Saccharomyces cerevisiae S288C: one gene and its partners. Changing the gene in region 1 together with any one later gene gives a genetic interaction. Each region holds a gene or a part of one and is shown in the gene's direction. Other genes may lie near its edges.

Evidence for each region.
Region 2: mutations in YOR365C (region 1) and SLI1 together harm fitness more than expected from each alone (negative genetic interaction), as found in Saccharomyces cerevisiae (one large-scale study listed by BioGRID).
Region 3: mutations in YOR365C (region 1) and ARO5 together harm fitness more than expected from each alone (negative genetic interaction), as found in Saccharomyces cerevisiae (one large-scale study listed by BioGRID).
Region 4: mutations in YOR365C (region 1) and GPX1 together harm fitness more than expected from each alone (negative genetic interaction), as found in Saccharomyces cerevisiae (one large-scale study listed by BioGRID).

Annotation. Positions count from the first base shown.
Region 1 is NC_001147.6:1,021,933-1,028,329, reverse strand, and holds YOR365C (putative flavin adenine dinucleotide transporter), read left to right. Parts: upstream 1-2,757; coding exon 2,758-4,869; downstream 4,870-6,397. Other genes in the region: 40S ribosomal protein eS12 RPS12, read left to right, coding at 1-136; RAD17 (Rad17p), read right to left, coding at 282-1,487; SCP1 (Scp1p), read right to left, coding at 1,721-2,323; oleate-activated transcription factor PIP2, read left to right, coding at 5,118-6,397.
Region 2 is NC_001139.9:913,628-919,661, forward strand, and holds SLI1 (N-acetyltransferase), read left to right. Parts: upstream 1-3,412; coding exon 3,413-4,819; downstream 4,820-6,034. Other genes in the region: YGR210C (uncharacterized protein), read right to left, coding at 1-1,111; zinc finger-containing protein ZPR1, read left to right, coding at 1,614-3,074; RTA1 (Rta1p), read right to left, coding at 4,885-5,838. UniProt on the Saccharomyces cerevisiae protein: Confers resistance to the sphingolipid biosynthesis inhibitor drug myriocin (ISP-1). Inactivates ISP-1 by converting it into N-acetyl-myriocin. Cooperates with YPK1 in mediating resistance to myriocin.
Region 3 is NC_001139.9:284,704-289,809, forward strand, and holds ARO5 (Aro5p), read left to right. Parts: upstream 1-3,808; coding exon 3,809-4,606; downstream 4,607-5,106. Other genes in the region: protein kinase COQ8, read left to right, coding at 1-1,244; YGL118C (uncharacterized protein), read right to left, coding at 3,311-3,748; ubiquitin-protein transferase activating protein CDC20, read left to right, coding at 5,106-5,106.
Region 4 is NC_001143.9:388,880-393,864, reverse strand, and holds GPX1 (glutathione peroxidase GPX1), read left to right. Parts: upstream 1-3,981; coding exon 3,982-4,485; downstream 4,486-4,985. Other genes in the region: SKA1 (Ska1p), read right to left, coding at 1-144; MIN9 (Min9p), read left to right, coding at 492-719; URA6 (bifunctional uridylate/adenylate kinase), read left to right, coding at 725-1,339; PAN-complex poly(A)-binding subunit PAN3, read left to right, coding at 1,586-3,625; TCD2 (tRNA threonylcarbamoyladenosine dehydratase), read right to left, coding at 4,960-4,985. UniProt on the Saccharomyces cerevisiae protein: Glutathione peroxidase-like protein that protects cells from phospholipid hydroperoxides and nonphospholipid peroxides during oxidative stress. Has peroxidase activity using thioredoxin or glutathione as a reducing power. Involved in peroxisome formation.

The DNA of each region.
Region 1 (6,397 bases):
ATGGGCTGGTTTGGGTAAGATCGACCGTGAAGGTAACGCCAGAAAGGTTGTCGGTGCCTCCGTTGTTGTTGTCAAGAACTGGGGTGCTGAAACTGATGAATTGTCCATGATCATGGAACACTTCTCCCAACAATAAACGGTGTGATGTTCATTAGTACTTTTTCTAGAGTTAGATCACATAATAATATATAGTTAAACTTTTATTTAATTGTAAGTTATATGTTATAAAATTACCAAATGCTGAATGAAGTTCTGCGTTTTCTGCGATGCTGGATATTGACTTAAAAAAATATAGGAATATCCTTTGTTGGATACTTGCAGTGATTCTCTTCATCCTCACTTTCCCTGTTTTTATTGTTTTCTTCTTCAGATGGTAGTTTAATTTTTTTCCCATTCAATTGCAGCAAGTTGTCATTTGAAGTTTCATTGCCTTTATCTGTACCATATCTTTTTCTTATAGTTGATTTTTTAAAACTATTACGATTGCCAAGTTCATTAGTCTCCATCAGGAGTTCTATTTCTGTCTGTGCTGCCTCATCTATGGATTCTTTTTCTAGCATGCAAACCTCAATTACTATACCGGGATAATCCTTGGGTAGCTGCAGTTGGCGAATACTACCTGGTCGATTATTTGAAGGTCTTGTAGTATCAGTGATAATGACATCGTCTGTTTGACTTAGAATATTTACACTCAATACGCCATGAACATCCATCCTGAAAAGGACTTTGCTTGCAATTTTAGTACTCTTTCTGATTTTATCAAACGAGGTGAAATCGAAGAACCCAATTACAGCAAAACCATCTATTACTGTTGTGGAATCTCCGTCAAATACTTGTAACTTCTCTAGTATGGATCTGTTACTGGGTAATTTTATTTTAGAAAATCCTAGCTGAGATTTAGATATCAGGGCAAATACATTCTCATCATTCGCCTCGGTCTTTGCATATACATAGCACTCTTTGCATCCGATTTCTTTTAGATCCTTTAAGGCTGAATGAAGGGCTTCGCCCTTAATAATTGCCTCAAAGCTTATCCTTTCTCTATCGAGTTCTAGTCCATTAGTATCAAAATCCTTAATTAAGTAGGTAGAGTACTCCACTCTCTCAGAAATGAACGAGTCTTCAAATATTAGTACAAATGGTGATCCATGTCCATCATAAGATAAAGTACACTCAACAATGTCATCCGAATTCCTGTTCATCACGCTAACGCTATCTAAGATATGATTTATTTTTACACAAAGTTTCATGTGATCCTCAGTTTCATTTCTATACGAATAAGACATAAATAGCTCCCGAGATAACAGTAGTTGGATTTTTATCACATGATTATTCTCCCTGACAAATGACAGCCCATCAGCATCAATGAATATAAGCACATCGTCTTTAGAACCAAAAGGTGTTAAACAACTTAAAGCAGTTGTGATATGTTCTAAGTGCACCGTTGAGGCAGAAAACTTGTTCGCTAGCTCACTGTTGATTCGCATAGTTGAAATCCTTCAACTACTTTGTTTCCACACCGTTCTGTGAGATTGATTTGTATAATCACATTTTTACCGGTAACGTTAACTTTTGTTACGCGTCTCTAGCCACCTTAGTGTTTATGTAGGAAAACTTTGATGGAAAACTAAAATATATCAAAGGAACTTTGGTTGCGTATATAGGGTTCTTAAATGTTTATTTATCAATTTCTGCCAGAGAAAGTGTTAATAATAATTCTCTAAACTATATCTCTCCGTTGTCCTAACACCACTCCTTCAGTAGCCTGAGATGCACCTTTCATATAACCGTATTCAAAAGTGCTCCATCCAGTACCATCTTGTAGATGTTTTGGTTTAGACTTAACCGGGGGTCTTGGCTTCTTTGTTGACAGTTGTGGTCCTAGAACTGGAAATCTATCTGTATGTTTTTTGTTGGCGTAACGAGATAGTGACTTCAACGTTTGGAAAACAATGGCAGGATCCTTTTTCTCAAAAAGATCAATTGTCTGAAACAGTTCATCTTCAGGCACACCATATTTTCTCGAAAATGATAAAAATTGGGAAATTTGATCCATTTGAACAAATGGCATTTTAGAGCTCTTCCAACTAATATGGTTAGCTTCTCCTGTGTCTGCTTCATATAAAATATTTGCCAGCTTACATAGGACTGTTCCATCTTTCAAGCATTCCAATAAGTCTCCAGGAGGAGCTATCTCTTTTAGGACAGATTTATATACCCATATTTTGATATTTTGAATTGCTTCCGGTGAAAATTTGCTTTCTCTTAGTTGTCTCAAATCTTCATCTAAGGATGTGACATCTGCCTTCTTATCGTAACTCATCGGTAAACTTTAGCTGTACGCTTACAAAGAAGTCATTTACTTAGACACTACTTATATCTTAGCTTTACTATTTGCGTTTATACTCCTTTTGGAACTCCACGGATGTCCAATTACACGTGATGAATGGGTGTTCAGCATATGTTACAACTATAATGCATGACATGATGAATATGTAGTGGTAATCCATGCTGTATTTTGTTATTACTGTAGCATGGTATTGATGCATTTTTAATTTTTATAATGCTGCTATGGAGCGATCCATATCGACGACAGCTTTAGTTCATGGCGGTCCATTTATATTTTTGTGCCCGAATTACTGACACATTTAAAAAATGATGCAGTGTCAATATTTTGGAAGGATGATGAAGCAAAGTCGTAATGCTATTTTAAATAATATTTAACCTCTCTGATTTATAGATGTAAAGAGAATAAGTATGCTTCCCATTAAAGTCTTCTCTTTATCTCGGATTTTTGTTTTGCTAGCAATCTTCCGACAAATACACGCTATTTCCATTAACAGCTCTACTTTCCAGGTTTCTAACTCTTTTACACTACTGAACAACGCATCGACTCTATTCCCAGTACCATTTGATGCATATACTAAAGAATATCTAAGGACTTCGGCTCTGTTGACTTGTGCTAAAGACTCACAGTTTTCTGCATCGTATTTCGAAGCTGCTTTTTTCCCGAGAAATAATACTCTATTCTTTAATGTTGAAGCACAAACAATTATGAGCGAAAACATAACCATCAAGGCAGAATTGATTGCATATGGTCTCAATGTTTATACCAAAGTTTTTGATCTATGTGGAATCCAAGATAATTTATTATGTCCGTTGAAGCCGGGAAATATAGAACTCATGGGAAGTTATTATGTTGAGGCCGCGGTAGCTAGCCAAATACCAAGCATAACATATAATATACCTGACTTAGACGCATATATTGTGGTGACAGCATACTCCACTATTGATAAAGAATTTACCAAACCTCTAGCATGTGTACAAGTGATGTTATCAAATGGTAGAACAGTCCAAACAGAGTATTTATCGTGGAATCTAGTGATATTGACAATTTCCGGAATTATGTTTTCAGTGGTTTATTCTTTGCAAGGTTATACGGTTACTTCAACAAGACTGGCGTCTTATTCAATATCGCTACTTTTATATTTCCAAAATTTGGCTATTTTAGCTATGATTAGTGTATCATTTTTACCGCCTATTGTCGCCGCTTGGACTCAAAATTTCCAATGGTCAATGGGAATAATAAGGATAAATTTTATGCAGCGGTTATTTGACTGGTATGTTGTCGCAACATCTGGGTCCCCCACCGTTGTATACCGCAATAAAGAAGTTTTATCGATCAGTGTTCAAAAAAGATCCTTGAACAGTAAAATCATATCAGCGTCAAGTAATTTAAATGGTATTGAAAGTTCCCAAAAAAATGATTTATTATACACTTCAAATTTGAGAAATTCAAATGACTATCTGTCAAAAATTTTAGTATTAAGAGGTATTAAAAGGGTGTCTTACAAAGCTGGAATTGAGATATCAAATTTCTTTTTAACGGGATTTTCCTTCTTTATCATATTCATTTGTATGATAATATTGGCGTTTATTATCTTCAAAACATTTTTGAAAGTACTTCAGAAGTTTAAAGTTAAGACAATTAGATATTTACACTTCCACACACATTGGAGTGCACTTTTACAGGGGACACTATATCGAGCGGTGTTCATAATTTATTCTGAGATATCTCTTTTAGCACTTTGGGAGTTCACTCAAACAGACTCAGCAGCTACCTTAGTGGAGGCAATCGTTGTTTTCATTTTGATTACAGTCTTGTTATCATCCGCAAGCGTAAGAATATGGAGGAAGATGATCAAGTCTAAGAAAATATTTGGCCAGCCAAGCTATTTACTCTTCAGTAGCTCGAAATTCTTAAACAAGTTCGGCTTTCTTTCCTCTCAATTTAAGTCTACAAAAGTCTGGTGGTTAATGGCGACCTCTGCACACATGCTTATTAGGTCTATACTAGTGGGTTCTCTACAAGCGCACGGAAAATCTCAATCTATTGGTATCTTTTTGAATGAAGCTATCTATCTCATCCTTTTGTGCTGGATGCAACCTTACATGGATAAAACAACCAACTTCTTCAATATTAGTATCCATTCACTGAATTTAGTGAACGCATTTTTTTTCTTATTTTTCAGTAACTTATTTCAGCAGCCCATAGCTGTGTCTTCTTTTATGGGACTAATTTTCTTTTTTCTAAATGCAGCGTTTTCTTTGTATCTCTTCATTTTCATATTGATATGCTTTACGATGGCAATATACTACAAACACCCTGATACAAGATACAAACCTATTGATGATCAAAGACGATCCTTTTTGAAGGGTGAAATGGATGATGATGCGGTTTACGAATCGGTCCCGGAACTGCACGAAATGAAGAAAGCCGTTCTTGAATGCAACGGTATTCAAAAGCCGCAGATCAATAAGATTGACCTTTGTAAACAAAATTCGAACTGTGAATATCTGTATATGTGAATAAATAAAATCGTGACTAATACGTCCGGTAGGATTTGCCTTCCTGCAAAATTTCTTCTGATTTTGGAATTTGAAAGGTTGTAAGACCATCTCGGAACTAAATATAATCTCCGGAGTATCTCCAACGAAGAAAACATAAAGCGTTGTTAGGACTTAATAGAGGTCAGATAAAGAAAATCTACTGAAACGTATAGAGCGGATGAAATATCACTTTCTGATCTTGCTGAACAAAATTTCTTCGATAAAAGATGTACTTTACAGACGAATCATCACCGGCAATGAATAGAGTAGGTAAAAAAAGGAATAGACTTTCTTTTGTTTGCCAAGCTTGTAGAAAAGCAAAGACGAAGTGTGACCAGGAAAAACCTAGATGTGGCAGATGTACTAAACAAAACCTCTTTTGTATATATGATGTCGCCAGACAGGCGGCCCCTAGGAATCCGAATAAGGATGCCACCATAGCGAGACTGAAAAAGGAGATTCGTTACTGGAGAAATAAAACCGTGGATTTGACTCAAGAAAAGAAAGACTTCTACACTGCATTGAAAAGGCCGACTGAAGAATTAGCTGCTAGAAGGACATGTAAAAGCTTGCAGGAAAATAGCTTTCCAATAAGTCTTTATAAGACTCATCCCAGATTGATTATGACCAAAGTGATGAAAAGAGAAATCAACCCTTTATCTGAGAAGTACTTAATATTTCAAGATACCTTTCTGAAGACATTAATTGCCTCCGTGCTTCTAAGTTGTTCCAGAAACTCCATGATTCCTGCTTTAAATGCAGATATTAGTAGGTCGAGGACACAGCCATGCGTAAAGAATAACGTTGTAAAAATGAGAGAGGTTCTATTGAAAAACTCAAAATACGAATCACAAAGAAAATCCATTAACGAGTTTACGGACAGGCTACTACAGAGAAAGAACCCTGAAGAACAGATTGCGGTAAATAAAGTAATTTCTTTATTATACAGTAACAGGGAATCGTCATATTTAGAGGATACATGCCCCACCGAAAACGACTATTCTGATTTGTTGAAAGGCTACATCAATGAAATCGAGAAAACGCTCCCTCCCAAGGCAATCATTGAACAGTACCTCTCTCATTTCTTTGAGCATATTTTCCACCTAATCCCTTTCGCCAGCAAGGAAATGTTGGAGGAATCAATTCACACAACAGTACAGTATAATGAATTAGGAGAGGTACGACTATCGATGGGCACAACCCTTATACGAAATAAAATGGAGAATCTGTGTATCTTACTGTTAATTTTGAGGATCGCGTATATCTCTTTGACATTTATAGAAGATAAGATTGAAGATTACAGTCCGTATATTACCAAAGAGATGCTAGAGCAATATCCGATTCAAAGCGAAGTAATTTTCCTAGCGCAGCAGATACTTGCATCGGAAAATTGGTGTGCTTGTGCAAATGAAAATACCATTTCATGCTTACTCTATATCTGGTGTGCATTTGTTTTTTCCCCAACTGAGGGTGATTTTCTGTTAGAACAACCGTCGGATGTTATAAT
Region 2 (6,034 bases), on another chromosome or scaffold:
TGATATACCTGGCAACTTTGCCAACAGGGGTTCCTCGCTTGACCAAAAAACAATCTCTAAATACGTTGGTTCCGTTGCCACCCGTAAAAGTCTGGATGTTCTTCACAGTGTACACCGGTATTAGACCAAGGATGTCCGTTGCTGCTTGCAGAACCTGAACAACACCCGTAGATCCGAATCTATACAGGACCAAATCTCTGATATTTTCAATTCTGTTAAGGATCTTGTCGTCCAGTGGCTTTAGTTTGTCTGGCTCGTCCTCAAATGTGTCAACAAATTCCGTGCCCTCCTCGTATAATATAAAACCTTGCTTTTTCAATTTCCTCAAAAAAACTTCCGTCACTGCACTGGTCAGTACAGCTTTGGTGTCAGGATACTTTAGCATGATTTTAGAAACATTTTTATCGGCGTCAGGGTGGTCAATCTTGTTGAGTGCCAACACAGTTGGAAATTTCTCCATCATAAAGGACTTGACCACTCGAGTGATCCATTCGTCATCCCATTTTTCCAAAGGTGGTAGTCCCTTCAACCTGTCCAGGGCTTTTTGGATCATGGGCGCATGTGAACCGTACCCACCGAATTGCGCTTGAAGTGTGTCCACTATGCTAGATTTCGTTGCTGTATGTTTACGCACAATAGACCCCCATCTTTTCTTCAGGTTCCCCTCAACCCAAAGCCTGATTTCGTCTTGCAGCCATTCTATATCGTTCAATGGATCATATCCTCTTGTGTTCTTCCCCTCTGCATCTGTGGTTCCACTAACGTCCACCACATGAATAAGAGCATCTGCGTGTCTTAAATCATCCAAGAATTTATTTCCAAGCCCTCTGCCGGAATGCGCTCCAGGCACAAGCCCTGCCACATCCAACAGTTTGATGGGGATATGCCTCTTACCCTTGCTACACCACCCGTAGTTAGGTTTACAAAGATCTTCCTTGCCAAATCTGGAGCAAGCACACTCAACTTGCAAGTAGCCGGTTGCCTGATTTGGCTCGATCGTGGTAAAGGGAAATGCTCCTACCGCCGCACCTGCGTCCGTCAAAGAATTTAATGTGGTGGATTTCCCTGAAGATGGCTTACCCACAATACCAATCAATGGATCCCTGGGCATACTGGCTCTATTTCCGTTTTATTCTTACAGACAGCTTATACTACAAGTTAGTTGGACAAAAGCTAAAAGACGGAAAACGAAAACGCAAAATGAAAATAAAACCAACTCTCATTACAATTCATCCTAGAACACTTACACATCTGTTTTGCACTGCATAGCATTACATTTCTTGCATATCTATCTATTCGAGAAAAAAAAAAAAAGGCATCGAGTGAATTTTTCACCTTGATAAAAAAGCCCTTACTAACCCTACAATAAATTGTGCCGAAACCCTCTGGAGTTTTCTAGAATATTCTAGCCCCATCAGGGCTAGAATATCCTAAAAGTTTATAGTTGACGAAAATTTTTCAGCGATGAGATGCACATTTATAATGCTATGATGTTCAACGCAAAGGAAATCATAGCGTTATCGGGTAGGTTCGCATCGTTAGCAATAGCTAGTCGCATATATACACAGAGATACATATTATACCTATACCGTTAAGAAATAGGATAGAAAATAATGAGCGAACAAAAGGAAGATTTGTTTAAACCAGTAGGAGAAGCTGCTGCAGAGGTCGAAGATGAAAGCATAGCCGAACAGAACAAAGCTAATGACGGCGTCAAGTTAACCGGCGCACAGGACGCCATGGGCCATCCAGTGCAAGAGATAGAGTCTCTTTGTATGAATTGTGGAAAGAACGGTACAACCAGACTTCTTCTGACTTCCATCCCTTATTTCAGAGAAATAATTATTATGTCATTCGACTGTCCTCACTGTGGGTTTAAGAACTGTGAGATCCAACCCGCTTCTCAAATTCAAGAGAAGGGCTCTCGTTACGTTTTGAAAGTGGAGTGCCGTGAAGATTTTAACAGGCAAGTTATTAAGTCAGAAACTGCCACTTGTAAGTTTGTCGAGCTAGACATTGAGATTCCTGCTAAGAGAGGTCAATTGACGACAGTTGAAGGTTTGTTATCCGAGATGATCGACGATCTGTCGCAAGACCAGGAAATGAGAAAATCTATAGACGAAGCTCTTTACAAGAAGATCGATGACTTCATACAGAAAGTTAAATCCTACATCAATTGTGAACCCAACACTATTCCGATTACATTTATTTTGGATGATCCTGCGGGAAATTCCTGGATCGAATACAAACCCGGTGAACCTCAACACAAATGGTCTCATACCCAGTACGTGAGAACCGACGAACAAAACGTTCAAGTTGGCATTATTACTAGAGACCAGTTGGAGCAACGTCGCCAAGAACAATTAAAACAATTGGCCAACCGTGAAAGAAATCCTTCTGAATCTGTCAAAGTTGGCTCAGCAAACCCACAGTTTTTGTCAGACGCCACCGACATCGAAAACTTTAACAACGAGGTGCAAACATTCAGAGCTTCTTGTCCATCGTGTACCCAAGAGTGTGAAACTCATATGAAGCCAGTAAATATCCCACACTTTAAAGAAGTCATTATCATGTCGACGGTCTGCGATCATTGTGGTTATAAGTCTAATGAGGTGAAGACCGGTGGTGCCATCCCTGACAAAGGAAGAAGGATTACTTTATACTGTGACGATGCAGCTGACTTGTCCCGTGATATTTTGAAATCTGAGACCTGTAGTATGGTAATTCCTGAATTACATCTTGATATTCAAGAAGGTACATTGGGTGGTAGATTCACCACTTTGGAAGGTTTACTAAGACAAGTCTACGAAGAACTAGAATCCCGTATTTTCACTCAAACTTCGGATTCCATGGACGAAGCAACGAAAGCCCGCTGGGTAGAATTTTTTGCCAAGCTAAAGGAGGCCATCGCTGGGAAAGTCAAGTTCACAGTCATTATGGAAGATCCATTGGCCGGGTCGTACATACAAAATGTCTACGCCCCAGATCCGGATCCAAACATGACTATCGAAGATTATGAAAGAACTAAAGAGCAAAATGAAGACCTGGGATTGTCCGATATCAAGGTTGAGTAACGATCGTTGGCCTCGGTATCACCTCCCCCTTTCCTCTTCCTCTTTACATATATCCTAACCACACAAGCACTCATTTGATATGATAATACTTATTCGTTTTTATTCAAATAGATAGCGCAGTCTTGAAGATTTACCTATATTTTTAAACTTTTGTATAATAGTTGAAATAGATAATACAGCATTTTTTGGCTCCTGCTTCATATCTTTTTTTTTAGGTTTTTGCTTTATATTCTTTCTTTTAACTCAACTTGTGCGGAGCAGAGGTAAAGAGGACAACTATAAATGCTGTCAAAACGAACAATCTACAGATATTTTTACGAAAAGGAAAAAGCGCAAGAATGAATCTTAAACTTTCTGCTATTGAAAGTTACTTTTTCCATAGAAGCAGACTAAATTTGCATTCATGTTTTTATGTCGGAATCAAACTCAACGAATTGCCCAAAAAAAGTCAACTGATAGCGGCTCTTAAGTATACTGTAATCCAACATGAACGTTTGACTTGTAATGTATTCTATGATGAATTGAAAAAGGAAAACTTCCTACAAAACATTCTTGAGCCACTGAAATTTTGCGATCTAGTAGAATACCGCCACGATTGGGACCAGTTAGGGGAAACCGAAATTAACCACATCTTTCAAAGGTATAACTTTTCATACAACGAGAATAAACCTTTATGGAAAATTCTGATCCTCCCTAATCAAAATCAAATGCTATTGCTGACAGATCATGTTCTCATGGATGGGATGTCCGCTATTCATGTGTGGGAAACGTTTATGGAAGGCCTACAGATGCAACAGCCGGTTGAAATTGATGAAACAATATATTCACCATCATTAAATTCATCAACTGAAAAAATAATGTCAGCCCCACTATACGGAGATTGGCCCATACCTTGGAATTGGCATATAGTGCGACAATTGGTCAGTAGACTACATTATTGGTTTCCACAAACAGTCGTAAAAAACAATAGAAATTTAATCCAATTTGCCAACTACTCATTTCCAAAAGACCTGCTGGATGATAAACCGAGCGATGGAACTCAAAAATACAAAGTTAAAAACACGAACCATCAATGGGAGTTTCGATTATCGCCGACCCATCTCAACGACATTTTACAAGAATGCAAGGCCAATAATACTTCGTTGACTTCCCTTTTAGGTGCCCTGGTCTGCACCAGTTTCGAAAAAATAGCTGCACATGAGTATACCGGATCATTTTTGAAAATTGAATTACCAATGAATATTAGAAAGCCTTTTGAACGAGTCTTGAAATTACCTTCAGATGATAAGCTCGCCGTGGGAAATTTTATTGCGGTCATAGAATTCAACCATAAACTACATCAAAACCGTGGAATATGGGATATCGCTTCTCAAATTCAAAGGGCCATAAGAAGCAGTTCCGAGGATAAAATAATAGATAAAGTAAACGAAGTAAAGTTATTGGAGGTTATTTCTTCTCAACAATACATAGAAGATAAAATTAGCTTGAATAACGGACCTTCTTCCACATTTGAAGTAACAAACTTAGGATTTCAAACATTTAAAGATGCATGCAACACCAGTTTACCGTTTTATATAGTGGATGCTACATTCAACGAGCCGCAAGGAATATCTTCAATTTTCTCACTAAGCGTAATCTCTACTCCTGGTAACGGACTACATTGTTGTATCAGTTATCCAAATACTCTCACTAAAGTGCTAGAACCCCACTGGCAATATATGAAAGATTACTTAAATTTATACTAGCAGCACTTCACTAGCTCAAATACAGAATAAAACCACATTTCCCACATGTAAATATAGAAAGCAGTTTATTCGCTCTTTGAAGCGAGATCTTCTTCGATAGACGTCACCTCAACGTCAGGATAGTCGGTGCCGTCAAATCTTGCTGATTGTTGCGCTTGAATAGACTCTTCATGTATTCTAAAAATGTTAATTAGTGGGAACGCCACAATAAAAATTAATACGAGTAAAAACATTGGTAAACCATCAAAAATATAAAGATACCACTCGTGCGAGGCAATTTCTCCGTCATAACCCTGAATAAATTCAACAGCTCTGACGATCGACCTAATTAAAATCAGGAAACTGTTCACCAATAAAGCAATGTTTAGGTATTTCCAACTACCATACCTTACCGATACATTGGTTGGTTTTTTGCTCATCTTGAAAATGAACAAAACCTCATTTATAATGAAGAGACCAAAAAAAGCAATTTGAATGAACAAACCAGCTGTAACGAGATGAGAACCAGAAGATGCACTTGTCACTTTAGACATCATAGCACCACCAATTGCTTGTAATAGAAGACTGCCTACATCGCCAATCACAAATATTGTAGTATTGAATCTAGCGGGCATGATCATTAAGTTTTCTGCGAACAGCAGAGTAGCCATTCTACCAAAAATCATGTAAATACTGGCAGCATATAATGTTGGAGACACCAGCAAGAAAACCGTTTGAATAATATAGGGGTTTAGTAGTGTGGTGTCTTTGCTTGATTTACATCTAAACGCAAAGCCCACACACTCAACAAAACACCCAAATATAAAGGGAATGTACGCTCCTGCTAAGTTTACCGTACCGTAATACCGCAATACGGGTTGGGACTTCATAAGAGAGCCAACTCTCCTTTTACTTTTCACAGAATAATGGAATAGTAAAATTACAAATGCTACCCCTGATACTGCAAAAAGTACCGTAAAAAGTATACTCGCACCTAATTCCGGAGTGTATCTATATAACTCGAAGCCGTCTTTTGCCATGTTCGAAGTGGTGAAAAGTGCTGACTGTCTATTACATACTTTTACAGGGTTTATTATTATAGAATGAAACAGGCAAGGTATCTTATCCCTTTATTATGAAAACTATATATACGCATAAGTCTTTTGCTGCATGATAAGCCCCTTCCCAAGAATATGACAACCTCTTATTGTTCTTTTCACCAAAGATCCACGGAAC
Region 3 (5,106 bases), on another chromosome or scaffold:
TGGGCATGAATGCCGCAGCAAAAGGCATATCGGAAGTTGCAAAGGGCAATTCTCCCACTTGGAAATCTTTGATTCTATCAGATTCGAATATTGACAGAATTACCAATAAATTTTCTAAAATGAGAGGTGTTGCCCTTAAAATAGGGCAACTATTGTCTTTTCAGGATGAGAAAGTGTTGCCAAAGGAATTATACGAAATTTTATCAAGGGTACAGAATAGTGCAAATCATATGCCTCAAAGGCAATTGGAAAAGGTTATGGCCAAGGAATTAGGTGCTAATTGGAAGACAAAGTTTTCCAAATTTGACAAGATACCTATGGCAGCTGCTAGTATCGGACAGGTACATGCGGCAGAGTTGCCCAGTGGTCAAAGAGTGGTTGTCAAAATTCAATATCCTGGGGTTAAAGAATCCATTGATTCGGATTTGAATAGTTTACTAATGTTACTTACAGCCTCAAGTTTATTACCGAAGGGATTATTTTTGGATAAGACAATTGCCAACGCTAGAACTGAGTTAAAATGGGAATGTGATTACAACAGAGAGGCTAGAGCTCTACAAAAGTTTGAGGCGTTGCTAAAGGATGACCCAGCGTTTGAGGTTCCTCATGTGTTTCCTGAATATACAACCGATAATATTATAACTATGACACGTATGGAGGGAACTGAAATAATGAAATTGCCCAAGGCATCACAAGAAACCAAAAATTTTATTTCGGAGAATATCATGAGACTATGTCTGGAAGAAATTGCCACTTTCAAGTATATGCAAACGGATCCTAATTGGGCAAATTTCCTCTATAACGGTAGGACAAAGAAAATTGAATTATTGGATTTCGGTGCCTCCAGACCTTTTGCAGAAGATTTTATTCTAAAATATAGAAAACTTTTAACTTACGCCACATTGAGAGATAGGAAAGGGGCGTACGAAATGTCTGTACAACTGGGCTATCTCACAGGCTTAGAATCGCAGTCCATGAAAGACGCGCACGTCGATAGTGTACTTACACTTGGTGAACCTTTTAGGGGTGATGTAGATAAATCTTTCGATTTCAAGGATCAAACAGTCTCAGACAGGATTAGAGGTAATATCGGGTTAATGTTGAATGAAAGACTATGTCCGCCACCAGAGGAAACATACTCGTTACATAGAAAATTTAGTGGCATTTTTCTTTTGTGTGCAAGAATGGGTGCGTCTGTTCATTGTGCAAAGCTTTTTAAAGAGATTTTTGCCTATAAAGTTTAAAATACTTCCCCGCTATTTGTATATATGCATATCTTTATATTATGAAAGATATTTTTTTATTTACTTTTAGTCCGTATACTTTTATTTTGTTTTGTTAGACAATCTCGAAGAACAAAAAAAAAAGATAAAACAGAAAGATAAATGTGCACTCTTTTGTACCTCGTTCTGCTATAGTACTTCCAACCAGATCGACTGAAAGATTACTAGTATATACGTCATGTTTTTAAATAGTAGTTCCCATTCTGCTTCAGTGAATTAGATATTTTTTTCCAATCATTCTCTTTAAACCCTCTGCGATAGTGATCCAACATTTTCTTAGCAACGCTAATCCTTCTGCCAATAGCTTCTCAAAATATACACCATTAACTTTACAACATTACATAATATGACATTCCACAGAACCTCTCTATTCCATTTTACCCCATTTCAAATTACTTTTTAGTCTTTGAATTGGGTCGCTTCCTAATTATAGAATTATTTTTCTCTGTAAAGTCCCAGCCTTGTTACAATACAATTGTACATCATTCATGAGAGATGAATATAATCTGCATTTCTTGTTCTAAATTGAATATGTATCTTTGAAAATACTCTGTATGCAGGCAACTTCTTTACCAATATTTACTTTATGAAACACGCCAGCTTTAAGACAATACCTTCGGGTCAGAAATATAGTTTAGTTTGTTAACTACAGCAGTTTCTTACAGAAAATTTTGAACTTCGACATTAGTGCATTTATCTCAGGATATAATGATCCCGTTATCCAATCGATATAGCTTCCTCAGGTTTCCATTCAGTCATAAATGTTAAATTAACGTTGTGCCTAGGGGGCAGATAAGCCTATGACATTGTTTCGTGCTCATCAAAACACTAATGTAATGGATGGCAACTGTTGCACCTATTCAGGCTGCAAAAAAAGAAGTATCATTTAAATCAAAAGGAATATGAACTGATATAAAAAGAACATATTCATACGGGCGAATTTGGCTAGTAACCATTACGAGATAGGATAGAATATACGTATGAGATTAGAATAATTAACATAAAATATGATAATATCGCTTTGCATTGCAATTAGCATACGTAACCTCACACAAATTTTATACTAATTGTCTAGGCATTTCATACAAGAATAACATTAGCGATCATTAGATCAGCTAAAGTTCTACATAAATGCTGCTGAACATAATAACATAGGTCCGCTTAGCAATATCAAGACATTATTACCGCTGTCAACATTTCTTGTCCGTCAGTGGACTTACAAGAATTGAACCGAAAAAAAAAAGAATAGAAAAGGTACAATAAAAAGCAATCGGTAAACGCGACAGCAGAGACGCCCCTGCACATTTAGTACACCGTTTCCTTCATTTAACCATCCTTAAATTATCACTTGCAGTATAAAAAATGAAACGGACAGGAATTGAACCTGCAACCCTTCGATTGCAATCTTATTCCGTGGAATTTCCAAGATTTAATTGGAGTCGAAAGCTCTACCATTGAGCCACCGCTTCATCTTGAAATATCCAAGAATTAAATTCTTACTTGTCTCCCCGAAAGCTGTATCTTTAAAACGGCTCCTAGTTATCGTCAGTTTTGATAATTAGTAACTAGAATATAGTATCACCAAGAACAGGCCAGGTAATATACTAGAAGTTGTGTATAACTACTAATATTTTTATACATATAGATGCCAAGTCAAGGTCCAATTAGTAGATTTTTCACTCTACCTTGCATTATTACCTGAAAGATCGTTTGTGTTTCCTTAAATTCGCCAGAGGTGCAAACGAATGTAAATATCTACATCAATTTACGGTTTCACGCCCGTTTCGTTTCTAATGGCAACTCATGTAAACTGTGATAAACCCGTTATTTCAGTTTTATTTTCTGCTAGTATAAAGGATGATAGTAGCCATTTCGCTGGAATATGTATCGGGTTTAAAAGATGGCATAGTTCGAAACATTTTCGCACAAGATTCTAACTGTCTTCGAACGTCGTAGAAACCGCAACGCAAGAAATGACAGCGCAATAAAATTTATTTTACTAACTGATAGAACAAATGTAAAAAATTTCATAATATCAAGTAGAATTCTTTATTCTCTTTGTGAATTCCTAAACCCATGAAAGGGACTTGTAGTATAAGCTGGATACCTATTTTCATTGGCTTCGTTTCCAAATGACACAAAACCATCACAAAAGGAAATAGTCCTTCCATAGTTACCCAATCATTCTGTTGCATATTAAATGAACAGCTCCTTGTTGATAATGCCAGTGTGGCATATTCACCGCTGCAGTTATTTCTTTTCATATATAATGAGTCATTTGTTTCTGTCATCACTTTTCTATACTTTCTCTTCCCCGCGTGTTTTCCGTACACCAACAATATATGCCATAATACACGTAACATTTTTTTATAAAAAGAAAAGGTAAGTGATATATATAAAATAGCGCCATGAGTAGGAAACTTTTCTGTTACTGCAGATATGTGCCAGACTGGCTCAGGTGGCATAAACACAGATTAATAGTATTGGCGTTGCTGAAATAAGAAGATCTGTAACAATATCTTACAATGCAGCCAATTTCAATAAAAGATGTGGAAAGCGATCAAGGGAAAGTTTACATTGTTAATGCCTTAAAAGATCTCGTATGCAAGTGCCTTTTAGAATTCGTGGACATTCAAATTGAAAGTTTTATGTATCCGGACGATCCAAAGTGTTTTACAAGGATATTTAAAGGGAACAAGATAGTCAACGAAGCATCAGATAAAGATTCGAAAGTGAGAAGTTACCCATCTTCATTGGGTGTTGGACACTCTGCTTTGTTTCCTTTGATATACATAAGACAAAAAACCAACTCCTTGCGGTTTTTGAATGATCCAAAGCAATTACCAACACCACTGGTCGATGATATGAACGCAAAATTCAAAGGCATCATTAAAGTTTATGAAAATCTCATTCACTTGTACCATTCATATCAGACGGTGGATTGCAATAACATGAATCAGCAAAAGCTTTTGGGTGATCTGGTCAGTCGGGGTAATTTCATGCTTGATATCCTCCACGGGTATGTTACTATTGCATCAACAATAGTACGGGACAGTAAGGATGCCAATATCTTGATAGACACTGTTAATCGGTTCATCCACGATACCATATTATTCCACAAGCGCATAATACATAATTCCAACGCTTACACAGAGTACCATGTAATGAAACGTGGCATGCAAAGAAACCAGAGTGAGGAAACGTTAGTTGAACTTGAATTCCGAATACTGGATGTTTCTGATGTTAATCTGGACAATGAATTTGATGACTTTTTACAGCATAGAAAAACGTCTCTTAAAATAACTCATAGAAGGGTTATATGATAATTTGACATTCATAATATTGGTAAAAAGTACCCTACATACTACATATTTCTAGAATATCCACAAAGAATGTGTCGTTCTTTTTCTGCGGTTCTTTGTTAGCTTTCCTTCACTTCCTTTATGTCCTCTTTCATGAAAGTGAAAAATGTGAAGTGCATGCGATTTTTGCGTTAGCAATTTGATTGCCGAAAGAGGCAAAACGTAAATAGGGTTGGTTTCAAATAATTAGAAGGAGCATCGGAAAAATGCAACGAGCAAAACCTCTAGCAGGCAAAGAATTTATCACCTTTAAAATAGACTGGAATTTGTCATATTAGTTCCTAATTCAGCCAATTAATAGTTTAAATCAGACTAAACCAGAGATCAGTCATCAAGCTTAGGACTAATCTGCTTTGCGACTTTGATTTTTGTGTCCAATTGGAAAGAAACCCAAAAATATAGAAATCGTCCATTCATTTAGTGCAGAAATATCAAAAGACAAGTATTACAAAGAAGACTAA
Region 4 (4,985 bases), on another chromosome or scaffold:
TTGTGAAGAGCTTTCCTCATGGGCCGTACGTTCATCATTATCATTCTTTAACCAATTAGAGTAGGCCTGCTGATCCGTGACGCATCTTTTTTGGCTATCAATACTGTCATCTAGTAGAAAACCCAATAATTCTTCTTTATTCATGCTTGCACGTTATACCTGGCCGGGATTGGGGCGCTATTCTTGCATTGTATACAATATCCTCATATAATGAACTCTTAATTAATGCGTCATCATCCCAACTTAACACCCCTCATATACCCTAAGTTAGTACTCTCAGACCTATAGAAATAAATGTATCAATATCATGACACCTAACTGATTATATTTTCAACCCTAGGTTTATTTTTTTCACTTTTCTTTTTCTTTTCTTTTTCACCACGTTAACGAAACTTTTAAGTAGTTATGGTGATCTTTTAAAGCGATGCATTCCTGTCTTTGCCTTTAGTCGCACACACCCTCTCCCGTTTTTATGTTAGCTTAGTTATATTATGAATCCACGCTACAGGTTTATACTGAGATTTTATTCTTCGAAAAAACCAACTTTCCACAATACAGCACCTTCGAAGACCAACGTAAACGTACCACGCGCTAACAAAAGTCAAAGCAAGGGTAAACACAAAGGCAAATTGTTGGTACTCGTAGGAACTTTAGCACTCGTGACATCAGTTATTTCGGTAAACTATCAAAAGAACGAACCAGTTGAATTTCTTGAATAAGACAAATGACAGCTGCCACTACATCACAGCCAGCTTTCTCGCCTGACCAAGTTTCCGTGATCTTCGTTCTAGGAGGACCCGGTGCAGGCAAGGGTACTCAGTGTGAAAAACTAGTTAAGGACTATTCATTTGTCCATTTGTCAGCCGGAGACCTTCTACGTGCTGAGCAGGGCAGAGCAGGTTCCCAATATGGGGAATTGATCAAGAACTGCATCAAAGAGGGCCAGATTGTCCCTCAAGAGATTACTTTGGCGCTTTTACGCAACGCTATTTCCGATAACGTCAAGGCGAACAAGCATAAGTTCTTAATTGACGGATTTCCTAGGAAGATGGATCAAGCCATTTCCTTTGAAAGAGACATCGTTGAAAGCAAATTCATCCTGTTCTTTGACTGCCCTGAAGATATCATGTTAGAGAGACTATTGGAGCGTGGCAAGACCAGTGGTAGAAGCGATGACAACATTGAGTCCATTAAGAAGAGATTTAACACTTTCAAGGAGACTAGTATGCCCGTCATCGAGTACTTTGAAACCAAATCGAAAGTCGTCCGTGTTCGTTGCGACAGATCCGTCGAAGATGTGTACAAAGACGTCCAAGACGCTATCCGTGATAGCTTATAGACTAAGACGTATTTTATATAGTTTACGCTATAAGTTACGGCGATATTATATATATATGTAAGAATATATACATATATATTAAAATGATTATATGCCCTCCCCTACATATCAGACCTTTACAGGGTAACCTTAAAATAAACTGCTAAATTATTTGGTTTATGAATTAAAAGAGCAATAATAACAATGGCGGGAGCACTGTTTCGATGATAGGTAAGCCTAAAAGACTAGTCAGACGTATCTTACGCCATGGACAAAATCAATCCTGATTGGGCGAAGGATATTCCGTGCAGAAATATCACTATTTATGGCTACTGCAAAAAGGAGAAAGAAGGTTGCCCTTTCAAACACAGCGATAACACTACCGCTACTACCATAAATGACGTTCCTCCTCCAATAGATGTGGGTGAGGCTACAACTCCGACCATGACATCAGTTCCTAAGTTCAATGCTAAAGTATCCGCAAGTTTCACTCCGATGACAGTCGGTAGTGACTCCTTAACCACTGTGACGAATACCACCTCCGCTGCTACAAATGCTACTGGCAATATCGCCATGGCAGCTACCTCTGCTACTGCTTCTACAGTTAATCCGATGATTAATCCGATAGTTAATAGCTCGTTAGTGAATAACAATAACAATAATAGTAATATAAGCATATCAATACCAACTACCGCTTCGAGTTCCAATTACGACCCCTTCAATGCCCCCATTTTCACTCCGTCTTCAACCTCCTCAATTCACACTAATGCAAATGCACATTCTTTTCCATTTCCCTCCATTGCAAATTCTGGTGGCATAAATATAAACGCCACTGATGATAATAGTAACAATATGAGTATGGCTAATAATGTGCCACCTCCTATGCAACCGCCACCCATAGAGAGTAGTAATCTTAAGTACCCACGTATTTATCCGCCTCCTCACAGTCTTCTACAGTATCACCTATATGCACCTGAACAGCCATCATCATTGAAATCATTATTAAAGCCTAATGAAAGGTCTGCAGATCAGCTTTTCATTCCAAACAATATTAGAGAAGATTTAACCAAGAAAAACTTATCGATTTTGCAGGTTTTCCCCTCTTCAGGTAAAGTTATACCAAGTATTGTACAAGATTATTTTAATTTGGTTCCATTGAACTTCAATAATAACGATTTTTTAAATAAAACTACGCTCTTCAAAGTTTTTTCCAATTATGACGGTAAAGCCTACGTTTTGAAGAGGCTTCCTAACATCGATAAGTCAATGAATCCAAACAAAATATCCAAAATATATCAGATATGGTCAAAAATTAATTGTACAAATTTGATAAAGTTTAGGGACATTTTTCAAACTACTAAATTTGGTGATCTGTCTATTTGTTTGGTCTTTGACTACTACCCAAACTCGCTATCTTTGTATGATTACCACTTTGTTAATTTCCCTAAGTTTCCAATAACGAATAATTATTTATGGATATATTTAGTTCAACTCACCAATGTAATAAACTCTATCCATTCACAAAACTTGAGTATTGGCAATACATTAAACTGGAGAAAAGTTTTGATTACTGGGGACCCAGGGAGAATCAAGTTATCACACTGCAATTTTATGGACCTTTTGTTCAATGATGATACTGATACCGTAGTATCTTCCGGCGGAAGTACCATAGAGGGACAACAACAGCTAGACTACAAATATTTAGGAGAGCTATTATTTAACCTATCCATTAATATTGAAAACTCTAATAACAACACTGCCCCTAAAGAATATCGATTGGAGGAAATAACCCCTCAATCAATTGATGACATGAGACAGATCGATGATAAGTTCAAGGATGTACTCAAGTATCTGATATCAGACAACGGCGATTCCAAAAAGAGCATTCATGATCTTACTAGTCACTTTTATGATAAGATGTTCATGGTCCTGGAATCGTCACAAACCTATACAGAATACATGGAGTCTGTCTTATCAAGAGAACTAGAAAATGGCAGATTATTTAGGCTGGTCAACAAGCTAAATTGCATTTTTGGTAGAATCGAATCAAGAATAGACATAAATTGGTCCGAATCTGGGACTAAATTCCCCATTATACTATTTTATGACTACGTATTCCATCAAGTGGATTCGAATGGGAAACCAATAATGGATTTAACTCATGTCCTAAGATGTTTGAACAAATTAGACGCTGGTATTCAAGAAAAGTTAATGTTGGTAACGCCCGATGAGTTAAACTGTATTATTATATCCTATAAGGAGTTGAAGGACTTGATAGAATCCACCTTTCGATCCATCACCCAATAAAACAACACCAAATAATGTAGATACACACATATATATTAATTATACATTAGTATCCCCTTGACATACCCCACTACCGTCTTCATGTGGAAAATTTTCCGTATTTGCTTTCCCCTTCTGTTCCCTAATTCTATAGGGTAAGCGATTCATCCCTTGTTCGCCACATCTAAGAGAACTTAAAGCCGGGGCTCACCTCTACTACAGAGATTGCTTATGGTGAACAATATTAAGTGATTATATAACACAGTAATGTACAAATATATTTTAGTCATGTAGGTGATATTGTGCACGGCGAGGTTCTCTGATTGTGAACCCGTATAAGGAATATAAGCGGAGAAACACAATATTTATAAGTAACGATGCAAGAATTTTATTCTTTTTCACCAATAGATGAAAACGGAAATCCATTCCCCTTCAACTCCCTGCGTAACAAAGTGGTTTTGATAGTCAATGTAGCATCTCATTGTGCGTTCACACCTCAATACAAGGAATTAGAGTACTTGTACGAAAAATACAAATCACATGGTCTAGTGATTGTGGCCTTTCCCTGTGGTCAATTCGGAAATCAAGAGTTCGAGAAGGATAAAGAGATTAATAAGTTCTGTCAAGATAAATATGGTGTAACCTTCCCTATTCTACATAAGATCCGTTGCAACGGGCAAAAGCAAGATCCCGTCTACAAGTTCTTAAAGAATTCAGTAAGCGGGAAGTCTGGAATAAAAATGATAAAATGGAATTTTGAAAAGTTTGTGGTAGACCGAAATGGGAAGGTGGTTAAAAGGTTTTCATGCATGACTAGGCCACTAGAGCTTTGTCCAATAATCGAAGAATTACTGAATCAACCACCAGAAGAACAGATTTAATTTGCGGTCAACGAAGTTGAAAACGGAAAAGTGGTGATAAGAATGAAAATAAAAGACATATAATTGAATAGTCTCTGTCACCCTTGCTATCGTATCAACAGTTGCTCTTCTATCTTGTTTTGCGTATGTATTTTTTCTAAGAAGAATATGTAGGTTTTAGTCATTTTTTGTTGATTAAGGGAATGAAAATTGTCCTAAAGAACCCTTTCAGTGGTTCAGCTTTGAGAAGTTTCAATATTGATTTCCGTCGCATGCCTCATCGTTAATTTTTCTCTAGTTTTTATTTATTTCAGAAATTCAAGTTTTTTACTTTCAAGAAATTAAATAATGTAATTTTACAAATAAACATAAACAAGTAGAAGTAAATGAAGAAGCATAAAAATAGTTTTCTATATGGTATGAGTCCGAAAAGCCTCCTGGAATAGTACGTAACTCTATGGAAGAAAATGCTTTATATGTTGGAAAGGAACAAGATCATCTGAATTGAGAGTAATAAGCTT